Linked DNA regions of Alligator mississippiensis. The protein of the gene in region 2 interacts with the protein of the main gene of each other region in a biochemical or structural test. Links are inferred from orthologs where the notes say so. Each region holds a gene or a part of one and is shown on either strand. Other genes may lie near its edges. The genes, in order: HBEGF and ZBTB16.

Region 1 (14,594 bases), on a different chromosome or scaffold from region 2:
TGGTTTCTTAAAGTGTACCAAAGCGATGCAAAACGCAAGAAACAAAAAGTCCAGGAAGTCAGAATAGCATCCTACAGAGCAAGAGGACAAACTAAAAATATCTCCTACGTTCTTCCTCTGTGTGGTTTAGAGAATTCAAGGAACAATGACTAAGGTTTCCCTAGGACAGAGGTTCTTTGCTACTTACATGCAGGATGGAGCTCCCAGCTCTTTGATGTATTTGCATTCTCCATGAATACAGAAGTCCTTATACTTTTGTAGGCATGGATCTCTCTTCTTCCCCATGCCTTTGCCTTTTCTCCTTTTCTTACCATTCCCTTTTTTCTTTGGAGTAACCAGCTCTTGTGGTTTTGACAAGAAAGCAACTGGAAAACAAGTTCAAAAGAAAAAACATCCGTCACCTCAATTTCTTGCTTAAAAGTGAAAGAGGGCAGGAAACCTAGACCTATTGTAAGTAATTCAACTTTGGTGCCAGCAGAGCACTTTTGTTCAGAGATCTGCCGCCAAGCAGAAATTTTTCCATTCTTGCACATTTGAACAAATATCATGGCATTTCTGATTCATAAAAATTCTGAAGGAAATAAAGGAACAAGCTACTGCAGATTCAGGAATTAAAACAGGGCTTTATCTATCTGAAATGTTGCTATTATATGCACTGGTTTCCACTGAATACAGAAGATTAGTAATTGTGTCTTTATCTAGCCTTTAATTTCTCTGATCAGCCTGATCTTTTGTAAGAGCCTATTCATGGTCCTGATTGGCCTCATTTTCCTGTGATTACAATGATGGCTTGCACACAGGACAAGAACAGTATTAAAAAGGGCAATAGGAGGTCAATTTAGGGTTTCTGAAAACAAGCTGATATCAACAGAAATGTTCTTACAAAATATGTAGTTACTTTTTTATTTGAGTGGAAGCAATTTATTTAAGTAAACCCAACTCATGCTCATTTGGCAAATGTTAACTGGAGCTTTCTGGATGCTCATTAGGGACACCTTGCAAGGTGAAACTTGACTGGGTTTCTAAACTGGGTAAGACAAAAAGCTAATTACTCGATCACGCAAAATTCTGAGTCTGCTCACCCCCCAAGTAAATTCAGTGGGAATATATGCTACTTTGTCACTTCCTCATGGTTTCTTTCCCTACTGTGGTGTTCATAAGGCAGCTAAGGAACCACCGGGCATCCAAACATCACGTTAGTTTTCAGTTTTGCAGTGAAACTGGAACAACTCCAGAAAACATAGGACATTCAGCAATGCTGATCATTAAGGGCCAGATTCTAATGCCCTCACTCACTTGGAACAGTGCTTCATTCTTCAAGTAACACCCCTAAGGTCAATACATCTGAACTTTCAGGCACTACAAAGTTTGGGCACACAGAGAAACAAAGCCATGAGGCTTAAATACAACTGAAGAATACTTTTAGATTCCCCCAGTGCTGCCCTTGGTCCCATGGACTGCAGCCCTTGTTTCCGTCCTTATCCTATTTTACAGCTTTAGAAGGCACCACGTTCAGAGAAATGGGGGAAGGAGCCACTCTCAGCAGTGCAGGAGCTTTTAGTGTTATAATTTAGTTAAGAACCAAGAAAAGACAACCAAAATATTATGTACAAGAATTTCCTGTTTCCAGTTAGGGGTCCCTTTGGTTTATCTCTCTGCTGCAGGCATTGTGACTAGCAGTACAGGGCAGTGCTCACAGGAACATGCTATCACAGGGGCCAGGAAAAGACATGCAGAACCACACTGGGCTGCTTACTCTCCTCCAAACTGGCTCCCCAGCTGCCACCCACTCCTAGATCTTTGTGCTTGTGTCCCTCTGTCATGAGATCAGAGGAACAAAGGTAACACCACTGGTGTTTATTTGGGAGAAGTTATCTGATAAGACCATTACTGCATTCAGGCCAGCAAGCATCAGGAATGGGCTGATAGGAATAGCAAGTGGGAAGGGTATGGATGAGCAGGGGCATAAGAAGTGAGGGCAGAGAGGATGTTCCTGACTTCAGTTCCTTGGAATAGCTCAGACACTCTTCCCCTCCACTGGCAAGATTGACAGAGCAGCTAGAGGCTCTAGACCTGACAGGGACTGGAAGGAGACATGCGGCACTCCTAAAGAGCACAAAGCAGAAGGGGTTCCCAACCCAGAGAAAAGCATTATTTATCATCCATTTCATAGTAGAAAGCCCTCACTCCAAGGGCAAAGTTGGCACAGCCCCTTATATTTACCATGCAAGTTAGAGTGAAGCATTTCAATAATAACAATAACCCCATCCCATTTGTGTGGATTTTGAGGCTGACAGAGGGTACTAAGTCATGGATAGGAGAGTGGGCAAGAACTAGAGAAGCCAGATTTCCTTTGCTTCATATAATAAAATTCAACCCCTTGGAACTACCCATGATTGCCCCTGGGCACTATAAGCTTTCACTTGTATAAACACTGCCCTAGACAGTGCAGAGGCAGCAAGAATTGGTGACTCTGGCCCCCAACAAAGATTCACTTAGATGCACCACTGGATTTAATCCCCAGTCCCAACTCCATTTCCTGTCATGCCACATGTGTGTAGCAGGAGGCATGACTTTGGGATTGAAGATCAGATCCCTATCATGTCCTACTTGTCAGTGCAGGGGAAGCCTGAGATTATGATTCCAGGCTCCCCCTGCACTGGCAAGTTGAAAACTGGGTGCCCACAGGGATGCAGCCAGGGATGACAATCAGCTGATTGTCAGCGTGGGCTTGGGACTGCACTGGGGCTCATTCTGGATCCTAGTGCAGTCCCCAGCCCCAAGCAAGAATCAGTGATTGTTGGCTCAGCTACATGTTCAGTGTAAAGCATCATACAAAGCAGCCATAAAATTGTCTACATTATATGTGGAACAATTTTATGGCGGATCTGCCATTTTATGATGCCTCAGACTGTGCACGTACAACACCCTTGTCAATTATGCTGCAATGAATACATTAAATCACAGCATAAGTGTAATGTGTAATGGGGGCCTTTGACTCCCCAGAGCTACTTCCTGTTCTTTCTATTCAACCCAGAAAGATTCTGGGCCCATCAACTCATGCACCTGTGTGGATGCTTTTCACCCTTCCAAAAGCTCACTGATTCCTATTGGAAGGGAAGAATGATCTGCCCCATTTGTAGAGGGCAGAAATATCTGTGGAGAAATGGAAGGGATATGGGATCAAAGTGAGGTGGAGAGAACTGGGAGGAGCAGTGATGAGGAGAGATTCTGATAGGGACAAGAAAGGAAGCGAAAGATTGTTTAATGGAAAGCACAGAAAGAGATGGAGGCAAATTTCCCCAGAACTGACTCCCTTTAGATGCAATAGCTCATCCTGCTGCTGTAAAGCTAGACAGTGTACGTCAGAAAATGACAGGAACAGAGGCAAGACAGGAAGGGGAACAAAAAATGAGGAAAGACTAGAGTACGAAACATTGATCTCTGGTCCAGTCAGCATTGGCATATGCTGGCGTAAACCTGGTGACCTCAGTGAAGTTATGCTGTTAACACCAGGTCTGAATTTGTCTGCGTGTCAAATCCTGGTCACAATCAAGCTAAAGCCTAGCCTCCTGCACTATTCAATGGGACATTCTTTGGCCCAAACCCCGGTAAGAGAAACCAGACATAAATGGACAGAGAGCACAAGAGAGCAAATCCTGAACCAAGCACCTCTGCAGAAGGGACAGTGTAGTGGCATTTCCCAGCTAGGTGTGAAGGGTAGCAATGTGTGGGTGGTGAGCAGTGAGTCACAGGCAATTTCCCTCCTCGACAAAGCAGTGACTATTACTGATAGGGCTGGGAAACAAACCATCCCACTGGATTAACCCACAAGACAGAGCCCTGCAGGATATCAAGGAGTGTGATAAAATTTCATATACAGGTTTCCCTCACTTTATGCTGTACATGCATTCCTGGAAAACCGCACATAACTCAAATGTGCATAAAGGGAACCAACTTTACAATGCAAGTAATAGAGATATGTTCCAAGACCTCGACTGTACTGGCCCCCAGACCCATTTCTACCACTTTTACAAGACAATTTTAGTACTCACCAACAGCAGACAGGACACACAAGCACAGGGCACTATCATAATGGGGATGGCAACTACAGAAATGTGTATCAGAGACAAGTGAGAAGCACAGATCCACACAGGGGACTATATTTTGGTGCGCATCACTCCCACAATGCACCACACAAAGCAGCTGACTGCGGGCTTCCACCACACCAATCACATAAGAGTGAATTTACTGTGCATATAATGAATTTTTGGTATAAAAAGGGTCATTGCATATGAGTGAATTCACACATACAGAACCCGCAAAAAGTGAGGGAAACCTGTACATTTTCTGGGACCAACCTACAGAACTGAATAAGAAAACCTAGGCCCAGAAAAGACTGCTGTAGGGTGATGGAAAGAATCTCCAATATTAAATGGTATAGGTTTATAGAGCTATTTCCATCTCCTCTTGATGTCATTAAATATTACAGGATTTTCCCAGAGAGAGAAAGAGTATGTTACTACAATAACTGTGCTGTTATACAAACCCTTTAACTGCAGTTTCCCCTTCTCCACTTTGGAGATAGCACTCCATTAAGCATTACAAAAATGAACGTCCCAAGTAGAGAACAGAGTGCTGGATCTAAGAAGTGTTACCAGGGACTCGGGGGAACAAGAAGCATGTCTGTCGGGATTTGGGGGTCATAAGAATGCAGCCCTGGGTCTGAGCACAGGGGACTTCACGGTAACAGAAGGCAAAGAAGCACAAACATAGAACTACTAAAAAAAAACTGAACTGTGACACAAAGCACACGAGCCAGGAATTTCTGTGGGAACACTCTGGCCTGGCCTGGCTCTCTGCCCGCATCTCTTTCCCCCCCCAAATATTCCTTCTCTCATGGCTCAGGGCTTAGCATATGTAAGTCAAAGACAGAAAAGCCCCTTTGGCTCTCACTATCTGTCCTGTTCTCTTGCAATGGTGTTTCTGCCTTTAGCTGTCCTCTACTTCCAGACAAAGGCTGAGAGTTCACTTTGATTACAGAAACTTTTTCCTCATCCATCCATCTGCTAGTCATACCCTGCTCAGCACCCCACAAGTAGCCCCAGGTATGAAGTCCCAAATCAAGAAAGCATTTAAGCACATACTTAAATCAATGCCTATTGAATAAAGTATCCTGTTTAATTTTAAAAGCGTGTTTTGAATGAAGTCAATGGAACTTCAGCATTTGCTCAGGTACTTTGCTGAATCAGAGCAATTGTTGAATCATGGCTATGACACAAAGTTAATTGAGAGCAGAATTTACCTCACTAGTTGTGGGAGCATGCCACACTGCTCTGGGACTCTTACTCCAGTAGACTGCTAGTAAAGAAATCCCTGGGTAACTCATTCACTTCCAGGTGACTCCAGTACCAAAGAGTGAAAACTCCTTCCTTTTAACAACCTGCTCTGTTCATTTCTTTCCCCTTCCCACAGACACAGTTAATGCAGCACAGCATATCCCTGAAATGTGTTGGGGGTGGGAGGGACGACGACACATACCTCTTGGGAGCTCAATAAAATAATCCCCGGAGGAAGTAACCTCTCTGTCCCTCTCTTCTTCATACTCGGAGCCTGCCCTGGTCTGGAAGAGCTGGACAGTCCCCACACGCCCGCTGTTTCTTTCATGGTAAACTTCATTTTCAGTCACGTCGGTCCCTTCTCCATTCACAAATCCTGAGTAGGCTGCTGGGACAAACAGGCAAACCCGTCAAGCTGCGATGTCACAGTGAAAGCCACGGCAGAGCTGGCACTTGGGAGGTGGGGGGCACTCTCTCAAATGCTTGTCAGCGCTGGAACAGGCCACCCAACAAGGTTGTAAGTTTAAGACCCAGCTAGACAAAGCCTTGGCAGGGATGATCTAGTTGGGGCTGGTCCTGCTTTGAGCAGGGGGTCAGACTAGATGACCTCCTGGAGTTCCTTCCAACCCTCAGTGTCTAGGACTCTGCTAGGGGGCAGGGGTGGAGGGCAGCTGTTTATAGCCACGGCGACCAGGGGCGAGCTGACAGCGTAGGGGAGCTGCACACACGACAGCCTCCCGCAATCACACACCAGCGCCTCCCTCGCTCCCAGCCCCGGCGCTGCCCTGCGGGCGCTCGTTCCCCCCAGCCCACCCGGCTCGCGGCGCAGCCCACGGGGGCCGCCCGGAGCGAGACCCCGATCCCTACCTGCCGCCAGGAGCAGGTTGGCAGCGACCAGCAGCCCCCTCATGTCGCCTCCTCTCCCCGGCCCGAGGCAGGAGCGCGGCTCCCCGCGGCCGCCGCAAACTTTCTGCGCGAAAGAGCTGCGCGGCGCTGCGGTGCCGGAGGCGGCGGGGCGGGCGCGGCTGCCTCTCCGACCGCTGTAGCCCTCCTCGCTGCCCGCGGCCGGTGCTGCCAGGCGGCTCCTCTTGCTGCGCTGCCGGGCGCCCACACCCACGTGCTGCTCTGAGCTGCAGCCCGATCTCGGCCGGGCCGCGCCGGCGCCGGGGTAGAGGCTGCGGGGCGCGGCGCGGCGCGGCGTGGGTGGGGCCAGGCCGCGGGGGCGCTGCCATCCGGGCACGCCCGCCCGGCGCGAGTGGGGCGGGGGTTAGTGCCGCTCCCGCCGGGCGGCCTGGGCCGGGCTTCAGCCCGACGGAGGAGGTTTCCCATGAGGGCCCCTTCGGAGCCCAGTGGTCAGCCCTTGAGGTTGGCCCGTCCTATAGGGAAGTGCCCAGGCGCCTCTCTCCGAGGCTGGGGGCACGGCACAGCCGCTCTCAGGCCCCACGTCCTGCCCGGACCATTTGAAGGCTCAGATCAGCCTGGCTGGGGAAATACCATGTATGCATGTCCAAGAAGGCAGTTTTCCTGAACCACTTTGCAGGGGAACTGCTCTTCTGGAGAGGTGCAGTGGCTTTAAACCCAATTTATGGAAATGGGAATCTCCTCCCTTGCTTGCTCCAAGGGCCTTAGGGCTGAGGGCAAGCACAATCCAGGGGCATCCAACCCCAAGCCTGCAGGCTTGGGCCTGTATGCAGGATGTGCACCAGTGGTTTTGGAAACATCTGAAGCCCCAGATGGGGGTGGAGGATGTTTGCTGGTAGTAGGGCCACTTACAGTTCTGGACTCTTGGATTTGGAATTAGTTTTGGCTAATTTGGCCTCCAATATAAAAAAAAGGGGAAAAAATTTCTCCACAGTCCTCGTCCCATCCAGTGGAACAGATGCCCTGCCAGGGATCAGCACTCCCACCCAGCAGAAATGCGCTTTGCCAAGAGCTGATGCAATGTGTGCGGCTGGGACAGCAGTCTCTCATTAGGAGGGGCCAGAGCAGGAGGAAAGAACAGTACTGCCGGATCTGAGCTCTGACTTGGCACCAGGTTTCCCAGATGGCAGCAGGAGGTAGCCAGGCCACTTTAGAGACAACCCAGAAGGTGTTAAATCCACAGGGTCCTTTAAGAGAATGACCTGAGGCAAAGGAGGGGAAGGAGGGAGACGATGCCCTTCACCATGTTGTATACCAGTGTTTCTCAACCAGTGTGCAGCAGCACAAAAGTGTGCTGTCAGCAATGAACAAGTGTGCCACGGAATTTTACCATGGCCAAGGACTTCAATAGGTATGAGGATGGGGAATGCCATAACAGGTGTGCTGTGGAAAAATTTTATTAATGCAAGAGTGCCTTGGGCTGGAAACGGTTGGGAAACACTGTTCTACAGTCGGCAGGCAGGAGAATTCCTTGGATGTCTTAGTGCTGCTGGTGGTAGTGATGGGTCAGGAAGCAGCTACAGCCTTCTTTCAAGGTCAGTTTTGACCATTATGTGGCTTTGTGATGTGGGACTGCTGTAGGCACTGCCTTTCATATGTTACATAAAAAACAGGACCCTGCTCACTTCTGGTCACAAGAGCTTCTCTGGTGCTCTGGCTCTTAATATCTGGGTGATCAGCTGCACATTATCTGGGTCAGATTAGCTGGGTATAGTATAAGAACATAAGGAGATCTCCTGGTTTCTTTTAGGAAAGAAATAGCATTAACCCTGTCATCCTGGCCAGATACCAACTTCTTCATTTATACAGCCTACTTATGTAAAATTCTCCCTGCAGTTTCAGTTAGAAGCTGGGCCTGGTTTACCACTACCCTGTGTTCAGTCCTTTATATTCACCTTACACTCACTTTCCAGCAATGCAAATAAGTAGATGAGTGCAGAGAATGGATAACCAGGACCATCTTGTTGTGTATTATTTTTGAGAATGTTTAAACAGCTGCTATATTCTACCTTAGAGTGAATGCATTTCACTGGTGGGTAAAATAAATTAACATATTGTTTAACTAGATACCTTATCCACTTCAAAAGATTGTTGTCTAATTTAAATTGTTAACCTCAGTAAACTGCTCTGAAATTCTTGTGTGAGAAGATACTAACAAGGTAAAATATTGTTAATGGTTTTTCAGATTAATTGTATGGATAATCATAATGATTCCTTCAGCAGAGCTGCAGGATGTCTCTCACTGAAGATAGGGAGGCTCTAAGCAGGGGCAATGTACAGATGCCAGGCAAAAACAAAATGTTAAGTTGCATAAGAAATAGGGTGGAGAATGATAAAGAGGACAATGTCAGATCTCCATATAAATCCATGGTGTATAAATCCATGGGCAGTCTAGTTACCTCATCTTCAAAAGATGTTGAAAAATTAGAAAGTGTTTTAAAAAGAGCAATGAGAATGGTTAGGAGCTTGGAAAATTTCTCAAAGGAAGATGAATTGCAAAGAATTGGGTTTTCCATAGAATAAACAAACAAGAGGAACTCTGAAAAAAGTATACCAAATAATAAATGATCTAGAAAAGACAGAGAAATGGAAAGCTCCTGATCAGTCTCATAAACAAGGACATGGAGAGTCCATGAAACTAAAAAGTGGCAAGTTCAAAGCCAATAAAAGGAAACCCTTTCTTATTTATGACATAATCAGGTGGTGGAAATCCTTGCCAAAACATAGTAAGACTCAAAGAGGGATTGGATGCTTGTAAGAATAACAAGGACATCCAGAACTATAATGCTACCAAGGCTACAAACAGATGTTGCATTTTAACCCTGGGACAAATTGCAGTTGTTCAAACATCCATGCCCAATGTCCTAAATCTTTAAAATGGTCATGAGATAAAAAGTGCTAACAATTTATCCTAGGCTATCACAAAGTGTATCTGAACAGTTGTCCCAGGATTGCAGTAAGTGGCAATGTATTTCAACTCTTCACTAAACCCTGATTAGATGGGTAATGTATGTATTTGCCAATCCTGGGACATTTTTGTTTTGGGACAAATAGAGGAGCAACTTGGCAAATGTAAGAAGCTCAAGAAGAGCATTGCCTGGAAGGTAAAACCCCCTGCTTCACAGCTTAAACCCATCTCTTGCCATTTGTAATCCAGATGAGAAATGATGCGAGAAGCACACATCTACCTATGGTGAGGTTCTTACCTCTTCCTCAGGATCTGATCCACTCAGGTCTCCCTTCTTTCCCATGAACATTTTTTCATCATGTGTCTTTTTCTTGTAATGTTAAATGAAATGTTTTTAGAGATGGATTCTTTGTTGAATTTCCAAAGAGGCATGGGCAGAAGGCATAGATAGCTCAGGGAGCTGGGCAGAGCCCAGAACCTGAGCTTCTGTGAGGGTCCAACCAGTCTTAGATATAATTTTAATAGAAGGCTGTTACTTAATGAGAGGCCAGGATTCCCATAGCACTGAATGTTACAGAAGTATCCCTTGCTGGTATTAGTCACATTTCCTAGACTGGCCTGTAAGAGGATGGAGCAGAGGTCCTATGTCAGCAGAGGGTTCTTCCCTGGCCTTCGGTCTCCTCTGCTCTAAGACCTCTTTGCAATATATATGTGAAGGGTGCAGTTGGCATTTTACTCACAGGAAGTCACCCAATCACTTTTAAACTTGCTTAAAAACTAGGCATAGAGCTTTAACTGGCATTTGCCTCTGAGTACTAGGTGTCCATGATGCTAGGGGCACATCATTCCTGACCTCATTGATCTTACAGGGGTGGGAATTGGGTGGCTACATCTAAAGCCTGGCATTATCAGGGCATTATGGTGCTTGCATCAGTTTAGAAAATAATTCAAGTCCTAAAAGCTGGGGCAACTGCTATAGTGAGAAATGATGGCTATTCTTCTCACCAAGGGATGTAACACCTGTAGTTATTTCAGTTCCTGGAAGTAGACTCCTCTGCACAGGGTGATCCACAGCATCACCTCACAATATGACATCCAGCCTTGTTTCCTGGATTCCATTCCAAGTTTTGTCTTTTCACTGCTTCTGCTCAGCTGCATTTACACATCTGAGTTTACTAATGAAACTAAATGTCAACAAAGCAGAGTTGCTCTGTGCTGCTCTGAATATCATCTGGATGTCAGTCCTCCTTTGACTGTTCCTTCTGTTACCTTGAACTCCTAGGTCCAAAGTCTTGATGCCAGTTTCAGTTCAGAAAGGTGCATTAACAGCATGATTAAAAATTCCTGTGATTGTTGTTGTTGTCTCTAAGAGATATTAGCTGGGTTTGGCAGCCCCAGTTCACACCCCAATTCTTGCCTGAACTTGACTGTTGTAATTATGTGTTGGCTTCTGTTCCTTTTGTTTCCTCCAGCCATCATCATCTCTTATAGAATTTGGCAGCTGGGACTAATAACGTGGACAAAACTGTTTCATCATAATATTACAATTCCAGCTGTGCTGAACAGGCTTCTAGTTCAACAACAAAGCACTGATGATTGCCCAGAAGACTGCACTGTTTATTTCCCTGTTACGTAACTTTCTGCACTGGGTTCTCCTCTACTTGAGTTTCCTGCCATATTCCACTGAACAGCCAGTGGGGCATCTGATACAGGGGCAGTGTGGGAGGTGTGCTTTGCATGACTTACCTGGCATACTGCATAGCAAGAGGATGAGTTAAGCGAGATAGGAAAGAGGATATATTATTTTGCCAAGGAGACCTTTTGCCTGGTCATTTTTCCAGTCTATGAAATTCTTGGAGCATGTAGTCACTGGGCATGTCTACATATGTGTTTTAATGTTCAGTAGCCTATTTTCCTGCGCATTAAAGCACCATGTCAAAAACCATGTTAATGTGCAGTAAAAATAGGCTACTGCACATTAATCATCACTAAAAAAGCATGTGCTTTCAATACTGCGCAGTAGGGCAGCCTATTGCACATTTATTTAGTACCTTACTTTAGAGGTACTAAATTTAGTGTGCATTAGATAAAGTGCACACTGTGGATCACATAACAAGTTATATCATTCAAAGGATTTATAATTGAATTGATGCCATGTTCTGTTCTTCAGAAAATATAAAAAAGATTCAGAAGTTTTAAAATTTAATTTCTGTTAAAAATTAAAAAATATCAGAAGATAGTCTTGTCTTTTGTGATTTTTTTGTAGGACTCGATAGTGGTCTCATAAATAAACTCTGAGATTTCTCAGCCCTTCACTGAAGGGCTTAGGTGTTCAGTCTTCAGCGTTGGAGTATTGGAGTTAAAAAAGATGCATAGAGTTTTTAAGTTTGAACAAAAAATTTTCCCCCTCTCAATTAATTAGGTTTCATTTCCGTGGTATCTCTCATGTTGTAAGTGTTGCCAAATCCCATGATTACATCACAGTTGGATTTTGGTGACTGCTGGAGGTAATCTTATCAAAAGCAATTTCAAGTTTCACCCAGAAGCTTTGACTGGTTGCCTTCCTCAGTTTCCCTCCTCCAAAAAGGGGCAGGGGGGAGGTGGTTGGGGGCAGGAACAGCCAATCAAGGTCATGTGGAAGGCAGTGTGTGCTTGTTGTCTTCCATTGTGGGGATGTGGACAAGAGAGGGATCACCTATACCATTTTAAACAGCAGGGAAGGAGGGTGCAGTTTGGATCAGTACTTCTCAAACTATCTGATGTGGTGGACTGGCAATTTTTTTTCCAGTGGGCCAGGTACCGGTGCCCAGTTCAGCCGGTGGCAGCAACTGCATGTACACAGCGCTACACAAATGCATGACCGGCTGTTTCTTTCTCTTTCCTCACCTCGCATGACGTGACGTCACCTGGAGTGTTGGAACGTATGAACTGTGGTGCTATGACATATCAATGTTATGCTTCTGAAAATATATTTCTTTCTTTCCTGGCAACTCGCTGCGGACCGGTGAATATATTTCTTTCTTTCCTGGCAACTGGCAACTGGCTGCGGACCAGCGACCGGTGGCTCACGGATCAGCAGCGGTCTGTGGACCGCCACTTTGAGAAGCACTGGTTTAGATGGCTAGTGAAGTCAAGCCTATTATTAGTTTTCCCAATATCCCAGATTCTGACTTGAGCTACCACATTTCTTAGTTTGTCTGTGTATGGGTGCAGATGCTCAACTATATCCACTGGGAGAGGAGCCCCTTTCATAAGTGCTACAGGGATCTTTCCTCTGATCTCTGGCACTCCTCTAGCATAGCTGGCCTCACAGTCAATGGCAGGATCCTTGCCCAGGGCATGAGATGCAAATTGCAAACTATGCATCTGCTGCTAACAGAGAAGCTGGGTGGACAGCCCTGGATGACTCCTTTCTGCTCAAAGGTGTCTGAGTAGACCTCAGGATCTTCTTCAGTCCCCTTGTGAATAAGGCAGGGCTGGTGCTTGCTGCCAGCCTGCCAAGGCAACAAACTAGAATTGAAACTGATGGAACTGGAAGGGAACTTGGAAGTGGCATGCCTGTAAATCCACAGTCTCCTGCCGCTGCTCCATCAGTCACTTCACTGTCTCTTCCATTTCCTCACTGCAGCAGGTCTTCAATAACCACTTCCCAGCCATCAGTCAGTTAGAGCAGGTGCCTTTCCCGGCTTGCTCTAAAGCAGGCCCCACATGCTTACATGAGTGCACAGCACTCCACCCCTCTCCTGGGCTTTGGCTTTCTTATCATGAGCATTCTTATCATCAACGTTAGCAAGAACTTGGCATAGTGCAGCCCAGTTTCTCCTATCATTGGGTTTCTCCTTGGATTTCTTTCTGAGGGCTGTTTGGCCCATCTGCTAAAAACTCTCCCTCAGAGACTTCTTTTATGCCTGCCCATGGTAAAGAACCACCTGCCCCAGTGAGACAGCAGAATTTACTTAACCCTTTTCATCAGGATGTCTTATGGAAGTGCTGTATCAAAGAGACATCTTTTTCTGATTGTGTATTACATGGAAATAGGGTCAGCTCCAAGTTGATCGGCTTCTGAGACTGGCTCAGTGTAAGATTAGCACTTGCTTGGGTGTTGTTTTAGGCAAACACTCCAGTGAAGTAAAAGTGGTTTCAGGTGCAAATCCTGTCCCCAGGTCCCCATGCCAATTTCAAGTGTTTTACAAGCACATTTGTCTATATTTTAAAGTATGCTTTTCTTTTCTGTTACTGTGTGAAAAATTCTCTATCAACAGTAGGGGAACCTGGCTAAAAAATTGACCGTGGAAAGAAACTAGTGAAACTGGCTGTACACAATGTGCTCTCAAATACATAAAGTAAACACGCTGGAAAAAGTAGAAATACCTTTGTGTGAATTCCTTTCTGTTACTGTAATTGCAGCGGGGGGCAGGGTTGTGTAAGAACAATACATAAAAACCCAGAGAGAAGTGTATTTTTATTTTATGTTGCTGGCAGTCCCTTCCTGTGTGTGCTTTTATGAAACCATCTTTAACTGCATGATCACATATTGCTTTCACCCAGGAGCCCTGCCCCATTCTGTGCACAGAGTAGACTGCGTGCACTGAAAGCAGCAGCTGCTCAGTATTTATACTTATCCTCATACATACCTTTATAAGTAATTTGGAATGAACCAGAGCTTCTGCAGGAAAAGCACCCTATTGATCATGAGCCTGCACATTCAAAATGAAATTCCAGCCTGCTTTCCCATGCATCCCCAAGCTGTGCTAAAAGGGTGAACACTCACATTGAGAAACTGGCTAGTGAATGACTAGTTATTGAATGTAAAATATCACTCATCTCACTGTATGTATGTACTCATGGTCTATGTCAATAGCACTCTGGAAGCACACAGCACACTCCTTAGTAAAATCCTGGTATCACAATGCAAATATCACTGCTCAGGCATGAAATACAACTATGATATGCAGAGCCCTAAACCCTGCTCCCCTTGTCTGAAGCAGCAAAAAGTGAACACAAACTACTATTTGGCAGAAGCCGCTGCAGTGCTAGGATTGGCTGTGTGTGGGGAGGAGCCATGGTCATGGAAGTCCAAGGGACTGAGAGAAAAGAAAAGTGAGTGGGAAAACAAAGAAGCAATAGAAGTACTAGATCATGATCTTATAGGTTTGTAGAAATCTCCATAAATCCACAGAGAGGCAGTTCTAAGGGGGCAGTGTATAATGAATGGCTGATCAGAGCCCAAATCTGATGCCTTATTGCCAATCTAGGAGAAGATTCCCTACTCCCTAATAATCTAGTAGTGGGGTCTGACATGCAAGGTCATAGCTCACAATAGTCCATGAGCTAAATCCAAGAACATGAAATATCCCCTTTCCAGTCACATAAAATGCAACAGCCAATATATAATGGTCTGGCAGAGGGTCGTGTTGAGAGCATCA
Region 2 (15,075 bases):
ATACTGCATCTGTTTCTCACTGTGACACGTTGAACAGTGCCAATGTGCCTAATGGCATTAATATTACAATACTCAGCTAATCCACTCAAAGACAAATGGAGGTGAGGTTGGCAAAGGAACAGCCAAATGCAGTTACACTTTCCTAAACGGCTACTTAAGATATGCTACAATATAAGGTTTCAACTCCATGAAAGCTATAGATCAACAAGCTAAATGGCAAGAGAGTTGCCAGGCATAATAAATGGTACGTACATCCTTAACCAAAGTTGTTTTATGGAAGCAGAGGAAATAAAAGGAAGAAACGGGGTTATTAAATTGTACGGTTGTAGCTCTGGAGCACGTTGTACTCAAAGTTGCACAAACCAAATGGAAAGGTGGTCCTTGCCACAGTGAGTTTACAATCAAAGCCAGTCCATTATTAAATACACCGAAACAAGTCTGGAAAAGCAGTCACACAGCAAGCAAGAACTCAGCTCTGGAGCTGACTTCTTAATACTTGCAAAAATGCTCAGCTCCTTTAAAAGTTACATTAATGACTCTTTCTTTCAGAGGACTCACCACAAAACTCAGCATTTCCGCTGTGAAACCAGTGCCCCAAAATGTATATCATCTTCACCAAATGGGGCACAGACCTATCCAAAAACTAAGGCAGGCATCGTAGAGAGATACCACCTCTACCATATCACCAGAAGTCAGAAGGGACTGGGATCCCAAGCACTAACTGGAGACATGTCACACTGGGGAGACGGGAGGTCGACTGCCCGGCCACATCCTCACCCTTTTCTCACGCTGACTTTGGCATTCAAAAGATATCATCAATGAAAGTGGCTTCCAGGGGCACCAAAATAAGCGACTTTCTTCTACCAGGAAGACTGGCATTCATCTGAACCATTAAATAGTCAATGCAGCTGCAGATGACCCCATTGCCATGCTCCCATTTCTCCACCGAAGTCATTTGGAACGTCTCTGTGCCTCAGTTTCCCAGACCCAAGAGAAGGGGATGCTAGGATTTCCCCGTTGAAGTGCCAGGTATTATTTAGGCCACTCTTCAGCAAACGTGAGGGGAAAAAAAAAAGCTCAAGGCCTCCTGGCTCCCAGCCCTGGGCTTAATCCACCAGCCACATGGCTTTTGGGCGGTAGCTCAAGCATGAAATCTTCTAGGTCTTCCAAAATTCAGACGTGGGTTTTTCTTCCCCCCTCAGAGGGGACTTCCCAGCTTGTTCTTACTTTCCACGGGCATCCAGATAATGAGATGTATGTGGTCTATTTTCAGGGTATTAAAAGGAAGCCTAGCATTTGGAATAGCCCATCTGGCTTCCCTCCTCCCTAGCCTCATGAGGATGTAGTTATAACATGCTGGTGTTCACAGCACTCCTTCACACAAAGAGCTCCACAACACCACAACGTGCATAAAATACTATAATAACTTAATCGTCAAGATTCCCGGTAACGATCAGGGTCTTGTTTTGTTGGGTAACAATCAAATAAGCCCCATCCCCCCTCTGACCCCCTGTACCTGAGCAGTCCTATCTAACTGACAGGTTAAACACGTGCTTAAATGTTTGCAAAATGGGAGACTGGGGGAAGGAGAAAAAAAAGCATGCAACCTCCAAAAACAAGACACAAAGGTGGGAAGGGAATACTTCTCAAATAATCAAGGTGATAGATCCAAGCTACACCTGTATTACCCCACTGCTTAAAGAAATGCAATTTAAAATACAAAAAAAATCAAGCTGCTAAGAAGAACAAGTTTTAAATGGTTTGGTTTTGTGATAAAAAATTTAAAAAGGAGTTCATTTCAGCAGTTTAGGATAACAGTGTTTTCAAAATTCATGAGTGTTTTCTCCCCAGTCCAAATAAAAAAAAAAAAAAATGTTGAACTCTAGCTTTTTTCCCCCTGCAATTAGAAGCTACAATCAATACCAACATTAGATTAAGTTTGAACTTTACTGAACCTAGAAGGAAATCTTTTATAAAAAAAAGAATAAAGAGCCACAACTCAATACACACTCAATTAGTCAAAATCATAAGATCAGTGAAGAAGAAAAAAAAAACCCAAACAGATCTTAAAGCAGCCTATAAGTTCCCAAGCCTGGTACTTCCGCCGGGACTCCAAACCAGGACCCAAGTAAACAGAGAGGCCTGTACTAATGTAGCTCCGAAATGAGTTGGTTTTGAGTCAACCATAACATGAAATATCTTACGATGACTACATCAGGAGACCAAGGATGGCCGTTGTGACTCAGTCATTAAGCGGGGTCTCAGATTGGCATTCAACCCCCCACAGCCTTGATCTGACCTTGAGCAAGTTGCTCCTTCTGTGCCTTGTTTCTCGTAGTAAAATAAAAAACAACAAATTAAAAAAAAAATCAAGCTCACAACACTTACTTTTTCTTTATCTGTCTGGGCGACTCAGTTGTGAACCGTCCCAAGTCAGGGCTGCTTTTTACTGTGTGTTTGTCCAGTACCCATCATAGTGGGGGCATGATCTGGAGAAGGCCTTTAAAGTGTTTTCCTCATATAAATTAAAAAAATGAAAGTCAGCCAGGGTGAGTTTTGCTTTGCACCCATGTTATTCTCTTTAAACCGTGTTACAAACCTCAAAATCCTACTAGTTCCCAGCAGCAGCCGACTAGCAACATCTCGACAGCAATCCTGACCATACTATTTGGCGATCAGGCCATCCATAGCCTGCAAAACCAAAAGCAAAGTAATTCTCCCCAAACAGACATTGTCATCCCCAAGCGTAGCTGCTCCTGCCACACGCAGCGAGGTGCTTTCTTGACCACCTAAACGACCTCAGTTCCGATTCACAAACGCAGCAGGGGCAGACGGAAATACTCGCTAACCAAAAACGATGCAGACGACCCCTTCACGCTCAAGGTGAGGCCCTGTCCAAAACAGAGCTGGGAGGAAAGACGCCCCACCAAAGAGGTGGTGGGAGGGAACGGAAGAAGCCACTGACATTTATTTAGAGCTCCTGCCCAAGCTAAAAATGAACCTGCATTTGACATCTCGGTGTTCGCATCAAGTTTAGAAAACAAAACCAAAACACATGCAAGTGCTGCAAGCAGGGAGCAAACCGCTGTACTGCAGCCACTTCAGCACCGACAAGCCCTACTCCCCACGAGACATCCCTTGCTCCCATTGAGCAGTCAATAGCAAGCATCCCATTTACTTCAAGGAAAAGGAGCAGCAAATCTTGAATGCTGTGCCAGCGACTTTGGTGGACCTCTGCCCTTCAGCGAGATGACTTCCTCAGACTAAGTCGGCTCTGAAGCCGATCCCAAATCACTGGGAGAGCTGCCATTAGCACAAGGAGAGTTGCTAGCCCTAGAAAAACCAGAAGCTGCCATCTTCTTCCAGTCCAGTAAGTGAGCAGGTGTTTTAGAGATTGATCCTGCTAAGCCTGCTCTGATCACAGCGAGATGAGCTCGGTGGTAAGAAACCTCAGCCCTGCACAAAGAAACTTCCAGTCTTGCCACCACTGGTTAATCCGCTTCCAGGGACAGATGACAGGTGGCAAAATTCTCACTGGGGATGCTACGCAATAGCTGCCTAAATAACCCCTGTGCAAAATACCAATATTTCCCCATTTCTTTGGCAGCAAAGATTATAGCAAGGTCTCATGGCAACATGTCTACACACCTGATGCACTGGTTTAGAAGTATGGGTTCAAGTTATTTAGTGAAGTGTGCCCAAGCTGGCTGAAGATTGTGTATATGCATTTAGCTTGCACCGATAAATGAACCAATGCAGCCTAGCAGGTATGAACAAAGTTGAAATCAAATTAAGAACATTCGCATGAGCTTTGGTATCCATTTAACTCGGTTCGCTTAAAAACGACATTGTTTAAGTTGCTCAACTTGGAGCTTAGGCTAGACCCGAGACCTCATTATTGTACATAACATACTGGAGTGCATTGCAAATATAAATAATTTAAAAATAAAGGCTGCAACCCTAGCAACTGCTGTCTAAATGGAATAAAGCCCATCTCACCATGCAGAAAGCTGGTTCAAAATATGTGCCCTCTTATTCATAACATGCAGTCATTCACAAAGGGCCTCCTAATCATCTGTGTGAATTCGGGTGGGTTTAACTTTCCGCTGAGCCCTGGCTCGGACGGAAGGCTATTGATCAGCAATGGGAACTCTAGAACAGGCTCTGCATTAAAGTTCCCAATTTAATCCCTGCCAAGTTGTCCTCTTGCAGAGTTTCTAAAATAGTTCCTGTGGTGTGGGCAGGAGCATCAATTGTTAGTCTTTGTGTTTCAGAAGGGAGAAGAGGCAGTGTTTGAGAGCACGGCAGACCGCCACGTTAAAATTCTCCCTGCGCCTTCATCTCAGCTCCCGGTCAATGGTGTCCAGCCTGCATCATTTTATAGCAAGCAAACAATGCCAGACCCTCAGCTGATGCAAGTCAGCAGCGCTTGAGCTCCTGCTTACACCCGCTGAGGATCTGGTCTGAGGCACTTATTCTTTTGATTTTTTGTAGGAGAACAGAAGTACAATTCCCATCGATTCTTCAGGAAGTTCTGTCTGTGTCCTCTCAGTACCCGGGCCAGTACTCCCACCTATTTGCTTAAGTGCCGCGTGTATTACAGCACACGCTTGCATATTAAAATCACAAGCCACACTAAGATGTTATGTTAGAAATGTCTCGCAAGCCCGCACAAGGATGCAAACCCCAGAGTCAAGGCTGCCAGTCTGCACTTAAAATGTAACAGGTTGAATAGAGGATTGTTGTTCGGAGGCCCCACATGAGCTGCGGATAAATCCTGCCTCATTTACCGAGGGCAAGATCTAAACACAACAACAAGAGCCAGGGGCAGAGCGGTTCTCCTGCCCCATCAGCAAGGCAACAATATACACACAGGCAGAGCCTCGTGTGGATATTATGTACGTTAGAACTAATTAAACTTGTTGGTTCATTAAAATACTGAAAGATGTTCAGTTTGAATACTCCAGAGATGCTCCCAGGATTTCCTGTGTTCTTCATTTGAATTCCAGGAACTGGAGCCCAAACTGGCCTTCTTCCTCTGATGTCCTACTGGGCAAGCTCCTTGAACCCATTTCCATGCCCACCCCCCCATGAACTGTGTGGCTACAGCATCCCTGTTACCGAGCGTGCCATGCTTTCCCTGGAGTACAGAAGGCATAAAGGCTTGCATTCGCAGTGTAGCCTAAGGCCGACTGGTCTGTGATTACTGCACCCAAATTCAGCTGGGGTCCCCGTTCTTGCTGCTCCCGGCAGGCGAAGCCCTGACCCCGCAGATGGATGTTCACAATCAGACCTCTTTACTGCCCCAGCAGGCCCCACTTAAGTCAGCACAGCAAGCTCCAGCGTTTCTCCGGGCAGATGAATGCACTTGACTGGGCCCCAACTGGCTCCGGAGAAACCCCCAGACCACACCCACGAGTCAAAACTCAAGCAAAGGTGAAACTCTGACCTCCTTCAAAATGGGCCTGAACCTAAAGGGAACTCCACTAAGTTCAGCACACGCCCTCTGACCTTACTCCAGTGTGGCTGGACTCAGAGCTGGGCTCTGTGGCGTTCAGTCCAGAGCCTGGAGATTAAACATTGCCAGAGAGGTTGCTCCCGGGGAGAGGAGCAGCAGCAGACTGGCCTAGAATCAGAGCACAGATCCAGGAGGCACAGCAAGAAACATCCCAAAGCCAACTAAGCAAGATGCAAAGAGCCACAGAGGTCTCACCCAAAAATAATAGTGCGCGCACACATGCACACACCCCAATCTGCAGTCAGATGCCCAGACTAAGTCCCTAGGACAGCAAGCAGACAGATCGCTGAGTGTCTGACCACACAGGCACGCTTCCCATCTGCTTAAAGAAGCAGGCGCTAGAATTGGGAAGGAGATAGATACCTGGGGCAAATTCGGATTTGGCATGAGACAGCACTAGCCACACTCCCAGGCAGCATCAGCCTGGGAAGCTAGTGGGGAGCTTGGACCAACTCTCAGCAAATGAGCAACATCACAATCCTTTGTCAGGCCATTCCCTGCCTAACACGCGGTGCCACTGCCAAATCGTTGCCTGTTGCAAACATACGGTGCAGTAGAGAGGGCCAGCAAAATGCCCGGGCAGCGCACACAGTCCCATGTTTGACAACCGTAGCAGGGAACAACACGACACACAGGTTTTGCACCAGCCCTCTCTGCACAAGGGTGAATCGCGTCCACGGGGGATCTGTCTTCCATGACACAGGCCGCAACCCTCCAGCACAAAATTCACTCACAAACACAAAACAACCCCCTTCCTCCCCCACAAAAAGCCCTGTGGATTGTGCAACAGAAACTGGGGGGGAAAAAAAAGAGAAAATTGCCAATCGTGACAGGACGTGAGGAGAGACCCGATGGCACATTGAGAAGGACGTAGCGGGAAGACTCACCTGTGTTGCTCGACCGTCTCGTTGTCCGGCAGCTCTGCCCCGCACACGCTGCACTGTTCCCCGACGGCTCGGCTCTCAGTTTTCATGCCGGCTGCCAGCTCGCCGAGCTTGCTGAACAGTTCCCTCTGGATAAAGCCTTGGGGCAGAAGGCCCCCGTAAGCACTGAAGTCCATGGACACGGCGAGAGCCGGCTGCACGTGCAGGGCAGAAGTCATGGAGGGCGGCACGCCGAGCACAGAGTCAGTTTTGTGATTTGGTAGCACAGAATAGACGCTCAGGGGCTTCTCGCTCTGAGAAACCGACTGCTCCCCTCCGAGCGGCGCTCCCTGGCCCGCCTCGGGGGGCTGCTCCGCGTTCTCGTCGCGGACATAGTGAAGTTCACGGGCACTTGTGATAACGCTGCTACGGGTCGGGGTCCCGGGCCCGTCCTTGCTCTTGTCGTCGGGCTTGTCCCCGCCAGAAGTGCTGGACTCCGCCGTCCGGGGGCTTTCGTGGCTGGAGGCTTCCTCAATTTGCATCGCTTCTGTTTTCACTTCGGAGAGGCTGGGGTGGCGGCCGCCGACCAAGTGCAAGTCCTCGGAGGGGTTGTGCTGCAAAGCCCCTTGCAGCAACGACTGTCCGATGGTCATCAAACTATCCACGGCCGCCTTGGTGGGGCTCATGGCGGAGAGCCCAAACGACGTGGAGACGGACGGGCTCTGCTCCACCATCACCCCCGTCAAGCTGTGGCCGGCCAGGCTGGCGTAGCCGCTCTCTTCGCTGGAATGCTTGGAGATGAACAGGTTCTTGATGTACCTGGATTTCCGATCCTCCTCCTCCTCGGCGCCGCCGTCCGCCACGCCGACTTCTGTGTCGTTGTCGTCGGAGGCCTGGATGGTCTCCAGGATCTTCAGACACTGCTCCTCCAGGTACTCGATCTCGAGGATCTCCGCCGCGTACAGCAGGTCGTCCAGGTCCTCCACTTTGGCCTGGAGGGTGGCGGTGTAGGCGTACTCCAGGATCTGCTGGAAAGTCTTTGGCGAAAGGAAGTCCAGGGTGTAATGCTGGCTGTTGCGGTGGAAGAGGATCTCGAACATCTTGCTGGTGCAAGCCAGCACGGTGCGGTGGGCGTGGAACTCCTGGTTGTCCACCATGATGACCACGTCGCACAGGGTCCCCGCCAGCCGCATCTGGTTGGCTTTGTGCAGCAGCCCCGTGGGGTGGCTGGGGTTCTGCAGCTGGATCGTGCCCATCTTAGTCAGATCCATGGTGCTCCGGAGGATCAGTCATGAGGGTGTCTTTCCCCCGGGCTGCCTGGGGAAGCGGGGCAGGGACAGAGAGACACAGACAGAGAGAGAGAGAGAGAGAGAGGAAGGAGCCCGTTAGGATCCGGGCGGGCTCCAAGTTTGGCAGCGCCCAGGTGCGGGGAAGTTGCGGGCTCAGCGCCGGAGCAGCGGCGGGCGCGGGCAGTTCGCAGTGCCCGCTCTCATCCTCCCCGGCGCCGCTGTGCTCGCGGGCCAGCAAATCACTGACGCTGCTGCACCCGCGTCAGGGCCGCTCCCCCCCGACGAAGCCTCGGCCCGGCTCCATCTTGACTGCTGGCGCCGGGCTCGCGCCCCCGAGCGATCCCGCCCGCTCGCCCGCACCGCACCGGCACGGCACGGCACGGCGCGGCCGCAGCCACCTCCCGCCCGCCCGCCCGCCCGCCCGGGCGCGGCTGCCGGCGCCGCCCCGTCCCGCTGCCGCTCCGCCCCGCGCTCCCGCCGCGCGCCTGCGAGCCTGGCCTGACACCTAGCTGCCGGACACCCGCGCTCGCCCGGCTCCCGCCCGACACGCACCGCACCGCGATTTGGGAGTGGGGGGGGGGGGGGGGGATAGTCCGGGTTGCGCTAAAATGCACCGCGCTCGTCTGGACCGCACCGGGATGGGTAGTCCGCACTAGGATGCACCGGGCCGGGATGGGGGGGGGGGGGAATCTAAACTACAACGCGCGGGGCTCGTCCGGATTGGATTGGATCGGGCTGGACTATAATGCACCGCACTAGTCTGTACCGGACCGGGGCGGGGTGGGGGGTCTGCACCGCAGCGGGGTGGGATGGGATGGGATGGGTGGTGTAAACTAAAATGCACCGGACTAGTTTGGACCGCACCGGGCTGGGCTGGGCTGGTGGGCTGCACTCGGCTGCACCGGAGCGGAGCGGGCTGGGCTGGGGGGTCTGCACCGGACCCGATTGGACCGGAGCAGGGGGGTGGGCTGCACTCGGATGCACCGGAGCGGAGCGGGCTGGGCTGGGGGGTCTGCACCGGACCCGGTTGAAGCGGATTGGGGGGGTGGTCTACACTCGGATGCACCGGAGCGGGCTGGGCTGGGGGGTCTGCACCGGACCCGATTGAAGCGGATTGGGGGGGTGGTCTACACTCAGATGCACCGGAGCGGGCTGGGCTGGGGGGTCTGCACCGGACCCGGTTGAAGCGGATTGGGGGGGGTGGTCTGCACTCGGATGCAGCGGAGCGGAGCGGAGCAGGCTGTGCTGTGCTGTGGGGTGTGCACGAACATGTGCCGGCTAGTCGGGAGCGGAGCGGGCGGTGTGGATGGATGCGGTGGGGAGGGAGGACGCGGAGCGGAGCCCCGGGCTGCTGGACAGCGCTTCGCCCGGCCGGCCTCTGCCAACAACAAACATGGAGGAGCCGGCGGCTGCCGCGGGGGATGCGCCCCGCCCCGCCCCGCCCCGGCCCCGCCGGCACCTGCTCCCGGAGCTTCCCGGCCGCCTCCACTTGTTGAGCCTCCGCCGAGCCGCGTGCACGGCCGGGGAAGCGGCCGCTTGGTGCAGGTGACCCGCGTGGGAGCGCCCGCCCGCCCGCCCGCTTTACTGCCCAGCCTCTTACAGAAGGGAGACCGTGCAACATTTCGTCCTTCTCAAGTGGCCCGGGGCAGCCCTGCGCCCAAGTTCAGCCCCTTTTAAGCTGTGCCGTTTCTCGGAGAAGCCAGGCAGCACAGCTCAATCATTTGGCAGATTTTTTCCCCTCCCCTTTGCCTATTCCCGGTCCTGCAGGACCCGATATTGCCACAGCTAAAACAACAAATAAGAATGGTATTAGTACAAAGATACCCTTAGGGGTAAAGCCGTGTGCATGTAATCTAAAGAGAATGTTATAGGGAAGTGTGTTTATAATTATAATGGGATTTAATGTACTTCGGGACCAAATGATAGCAGTCATTTAACAGGAGCAGCCTAATAACAGAGGCCTTTATACTGCAAGACAACAGGGCTTAGTTTATCCGGTAAGTATTATAGTGTAGCATTCACAGTGCTATACTTAAGGATAAGGCATCAACTACACCCCATTTTTCAGGGGTTATAACTCTGCCGTTTTAATTGGCAGCAAGCTGAAATTCAGCATGCTGTCTATCAGCATGAATACACATCTCCTCTTCCTTTTTTTCTTTTTTTTTTTTAAAGATTGCTTAAATCAGAGGCTTCCCCTCCACACCTTAAATCAAAAGTGATTCAGGAAAAAAACAGGCAGACAATTATGTGCTTTCAGGTGTTTGTTTACCCCGCTCTAACTGAAGAGGTTGGATTTCAGAACCGAAATTCTGCAGACGGTTAGGGGTACATTTTTAGTGTAGCTTGCATGAAATTAAGCTGCATGAATCCCATTAGCAATAATGGAAATCCCACAGCTAAATTCCCAGGCAGCACACTGAAAATTAACCCCCAGTCCTTCCTGTGAATTGGTGCATTTCACTTTAAAAATAAAATAAAATAAATATAGAGAGTGTAAAATTACTGACTTGTTCAACTTTTAAACAGAGTTGCTTCCTACAGCTACTTTGACCCTGCACGCCAGAAATCCTACATTTATTCACAGAATAGGCATAGCGCAGGCAAAAGGATATTCAAGTTCTCCCCCAAACACAAACTGTGACTTACACTTCATTACAGTGGCTCTTCAAGACTGCATTAAGTAATCGGTGAATCGTACCATGTGCTGTAATAGAAACGATCTGGTCTCTACCCCAAGCTTGCAATCGGAGGTCCCAATCCTGAAATCATGTGTGTACGCACATGGCGGTACTCAGATACTAATCACACAGGCTGCGCTAGTTATTCAAATGCCTTTTTCCTGATAGTTGCTATTGCAGCAGGAGCAAGGAGAGCACAGCCCTGCAGAACAAAAAGATGACCCTCCTCCCACTACTCACCAAAAGCTCACAACCCAAGTGCCCACTAGATCTGGCTCCTAAAAAGGGAGGCTTAGCCTTGCCCAGCAGGAGCAATCTTACCAAGGGGTGAGACCGGAGCCGGGTTCCTCTGGCCTGCAGTCCTTGGCTTCTCTGCAGGGGCTGACGAGAGAGGCACCATGCAGGCACACAGGCCCCTGACATTAAGACTAGATGAGTCATGCTGCCTTCATTCACCCCCCACCCACACACACCCTTTTTCCATCTTTTCTATCTCACTTGTGAACTTTTTGGTTTAGGGAGAATCTCCTACTCTGTGTGTGTACAAGAGCCTATCACCCCAGGGCCCAGCTCCTGGGTAGAGCATCAAGCACGGCTGCCATACAAATAACCATGCCTGCTTTGTGCATTGCCTTCTTGTGCAGACTCCATTCAGCTGGAGTTTCATTTCCACAGGTGCCGTTTGTGGAGACCCCTTTGGATTGGGGCAGCTCAGCAGCACACTTTGATCCAGCACTCCCTCAGGTCCACTTGTTTCTGCTTTCTTCTACACACCCCTGCTTCTCCATACCTTACCCCACACATATCCACACCGCACCATGAGTCATCACAAGAGTTACTGTATTTCACTGCAAACATTTCCTTCCGTGCATGTGTGATCTAAAGAAACCACTTATTGGTCCAAACCATAGATAGCACTAAAAATATAGACAAAGCAAATATTTACAGTTACATTAGCTTTGTTGTAACAAGCTGCTCAGAAACATCTGTTGCTTGACAATGCAAGGAACAATGGAGTCCCCCCCTCAGAAATAGTCGTACCAGTAGGAAATCTGCCTTTAGACTTCCTTCAAAATTGATATCCTCCACCGCATGCACACAGAATTTCATAGCTGACATCCCTTGGAGATCAATAGCCACAGAGGAAGCAAAAGGCACAGCCATTCCAAGGGGCATAAAATAGGAAGATCCAAAAAAACCTCTAGCCCATGACGTGGAACCCATTGTCTCCTCTTGAGGTCATGCACACAACATGCACAGGAAGTATTAAGATAGCAAATACAGCTCCAAAGAAGAGTCCCCCTCCCACCCAGCTCTAAGGTCTTCCAGAATTAGCTTTAAAAAGTTGATTCGAATAAGAGCAGGAGCCTTGGACGGTCTGATAGCATAAATGAAAAAACCATTTGAGTGTTAGCTGGGTGCCTTGATGCCAATGGGAAGGGAAGAATGAGAATCCACCAGGTTTAGAGGGCATCACCTGGGGAGTGCCTTGGAGAAGTTATATCCAGACATCCCTGTGCAGGCTTAGTCCTCTTTTAACAGCAGAGCTCATGCAATTCGCTCTGCACATTTTTGTTTTTTTATGAATTGCACTAAACTTCAGAGGTCTGGGGTTATGGCCCAGGAGTCTTGCAAGGAGCAAGTTGTAGCAGAACCCAAGCAAATGCTGCTGGAAAAAAATGCCACAGATCTACTGATCAAAGGAGCAGCTCTTTGTGAAACTACTCCTCCAGGTGTGGGGAGTGCCAATCATCTCAGGTGGAGGAAATCCAACCAGTGCCTGCAACTTCAGCAGGTCTTTGAAGAGTAGGATGACAACAGGTGCATCACATCACATTGCATCACATGAAGACCTTCTTATGACCTTCTTCAGTGCCCAGCAGGCAGCACCCCCCCCCCCCCCCCCCCAGTAAGGCAGATGCAACAGCACTGCCAGTCTGTGCCTAAGTGGATAGATGGTTGGCTTTGTGGCTGCCCATCTCTGAAAAATAACACCCAGCAAATGCTATCCTTGGCTTTAGGGTTTATTTCTGAGCTTTGAGACCAGCCCAACAAAGGAGTTAATCGCTTTATATGGCAAGAACTAGCCTTTCCTTCTGGCATATGCCACTGCACTCTGATCTCTCCCCATCAGTTTCCAATTTATTTACTTTTTTGAACTTAATCCTCACCTTGTAGAGCAACGTGTTTATTAGAAAAGAACCAGCACATTAAATGAAGCCAGGCTGGGCTTCTCATGTTAAGTAGCAGTCACGCCCAAGTGGCTCTCCATGTGCCATTACTCCAAGTGATTGAGGCAATTTCTTCCTCTGCCATGAGTTTAAGTTGTAAATCTCTCAACCAGATACAGAGGCAATGATGTGCTGCCTACTGTGATTATTATTAACCTTTAGCATTAAACTTCCAGGATTTTGCTAGTCCTTTATAATCACATATACATGTAACTTATATATATATATGTCTTCTGAGATGCATACTCCTGGGATACCCAGGGGAATGTTTCACAACTACTACTGTTACCAGTGCAGAGTTATTTATTTTGGCTGTGCACAGGAACTTGAGTTAGGGAGGAAATTATGATTAGCTTGTTTAGTGCTGACAGCATGGGGAGGGTTTGGCACACAGGAAAGCACCCCAAGCTGAAGATCTTCCCAACCCAGCATGCTCCACAAGCATTTGAAGGGGACAGTAAGGAAGAGAAATTGTTCCCCCTGTTCCAAGGGGATATGGCAGATCAGGATAAGGGGAGCACCTCTTCAAAGAGGACAGCATAGGCCATCCATGTCTCCCAAGCTAGCAAGTGGAGACCCTCTCTCTCTCTCAGCATTTAACCCATGGAAACCACAACGTAGCACACTTTGAAGAGCAAAAAGCATCATTCTGCACATGCTAACAAGTGAACTACATGACTCAACAACTCATCCATCCCCCAAGAGCAGTCTGCCAACATTCAGATTCTTCAAAGGCACAGAATTAAGGACCTGAGCAGCAAAAGCCAGGACCAACAGGGAAACATTGAATTGGGAGTCTTGGGGCAGCAAGTCCCACAGTAAGATGAACAAGTAACAGTAGGGAACATGTCACCAGCCAAGTGCCAAGTATAACCAGGTTCCAGTCTGCAAAGCAGAGATCACAGAGGCAGCCCAGACCCAGCCTGCACCCTTTCACTTCCTCCCAGATATCTTGATTTTTCACTAGCAACATTTCCCCCAAACCAACCCTGGTATAAGAATGGGAGGAAATCATTAATTTCTTCCAGCTGACCCAGCTCGGTTACCTGCCAATCAATGCACTCTGGGCAAGCTGCTGTGCTCCTCCCTCTAGCCAGGGAGAAACTCATTGGAGGTACTAAGTTTAAAGCACGTGCCTTAATGCACGTGTAGACATACCCTTCCATGCCAGGTTGCACACAGGTGCCATGCCCTCTGTCCCACACATACCTTCTCTTCTCCTCCACCCCTCTTTCCTAGAATTGCTGCTGCTTCTCACCCCAGAGGTGGCTGCATTGTAGCACTGAGTGAATTCATTCTTGGATATTAGTCTCTAAAACACTTCTAAATGAAAAATACCCAGTTAATAGAAACCAGTAAGGCTGCCTTTAATAAAAGTATGGTGGGTAAACAAGTCTGATTCAATCTCATTTGTGACATGCTAATTTTGTGATAGTACCCAATGGCCGGGCAAACTCTCTTGGGGTGATTTACCTTTGCTATCGTGGGCCCTGATTTTGCAGAATTGTTCAGATGTAGTTCTTGGAGCCACCAGCCTAACTCAGCAACATCCACATGACAGTGCCTGTATTTAGTGAGCGAGGAGTTTGCAGTGTGTTAGGTTTGCTCAGAGATCAGAGCATAATTCACGGCTCTACTTTCACACGGAAGACAGGCTGACAGCTTACGAAAACATGATAAAATGTGTTAGACTGTATTTCACAAAACACACCCAACTGTAGAAGACAGGGCAGAAGAACACTGCAGGGGCTTGGGCAAGCTGCTCACTTGGGGTACAACTGCAGTATAGTAAGCTTGAGTGTAAAATCCATTGATTAGGATGAGTGTCACCTGAGCTGTTCAGATACCAGGGCCAGACAGGTAGCAGCCGAATGCAGGAGTCTTTCTGGGAGCACTTGCTTGTACTACAGAGGGAACCTGAAAGCAACTGGGAGGCTACAACTGGTTTGGGAGAATGGGTAAGATAGGAAGTGGGCAGCTCAGACGCATCCATTCTGCAAGCCGCTGTGTTCCTATCACTGCCCTGTAATCCGGATCCACGCTAAAATAAAGACCGTATGTTGTTACTGCAGCAAAACTGCACCTCAGCTCCCATAACCACGGGGGATTTCTAAGGCTCCAGGGAAAGGGGGATATTTGAGTGTACCAGCCTGAAGGGGATTGGCTAGATGAGTGCACGCCCAATGGAGTAACTGCATGGGCCTGTTGCAGTAATCCTTGTCCTTCCTCTGTGCTCCCTGGCCCCTCAGTTTTTACTTTTTAACTCATTGCACCACATTTCAAGCAAGGACAGTCTTGCCAATCCTCGCTCACATGAATGAGAGAAGGCAACCAACGTAAGCAAAGTTCCTCCCGTGTTTGGACCCTGATACTGAAAACACTCGATCATGGAAGTTGCCCCAAGAACCTGACCCACCCCATTGCACTCAGCGGGATTGTGTGCATGGCTGCATTTCTGCAGGATCAGGGCCGTTAACTCTTTGGGGATTAGGA

What was found.
Region 1: the proteins of ZBTB16 (region 2) and HBEGF form a complex in vitro, tested with the Homo sapiens proteins (2 studies listed by BioGRID). The link is inferred for Alligator mississippiensis from reciprocal best matches to the Homo sapiens genes ZBTB16 and HBEGF.

Annotation. Positions count from the first base shown.
Region 1 is NC_081832.1:42,997,974-43,012,567, reverse strand, and holds the start of HBEGF (proheparin-binding EGF-like growth factor), read right to left. Parts: upstream 6,606-14,594; 5' UTR 6,250-6,605; coding exon 6,207-6,249; intron 5,725-6,206; coding exon 5,542-5,724; intron 366-5,541; coding exon 188-365; intron 1-187. UniProt on the Homo sapiens protein: Growth factor that mediates its effects via EGFR, ERBB2 and ERBB4. Required for normal cardiac valve formation and normal heart function. Promotes smooth muscle cell proliferation. May be involved in macrophage-mediated cellular proliferation.
Region 2 is NC_081839.1:33,135,944-33,151,018, forward strand, and holds the start of ZBTB16 (zinc finger and BTB domain-containing protein 16), read right to left. Parts: upstream 8,024-15,075; 5' UTR 7,653-8,023; coding exon 6,406-7,652; intron 1-6,405. UniProt on the Homo sapiens protein: Acts as a transcriptional repressor. Transcriptional repression may be mediated through recruitment of histone deacetylases to target promoters. May play a role in myeloid maturation and in the development and/or maintenance of other differentiated tissues.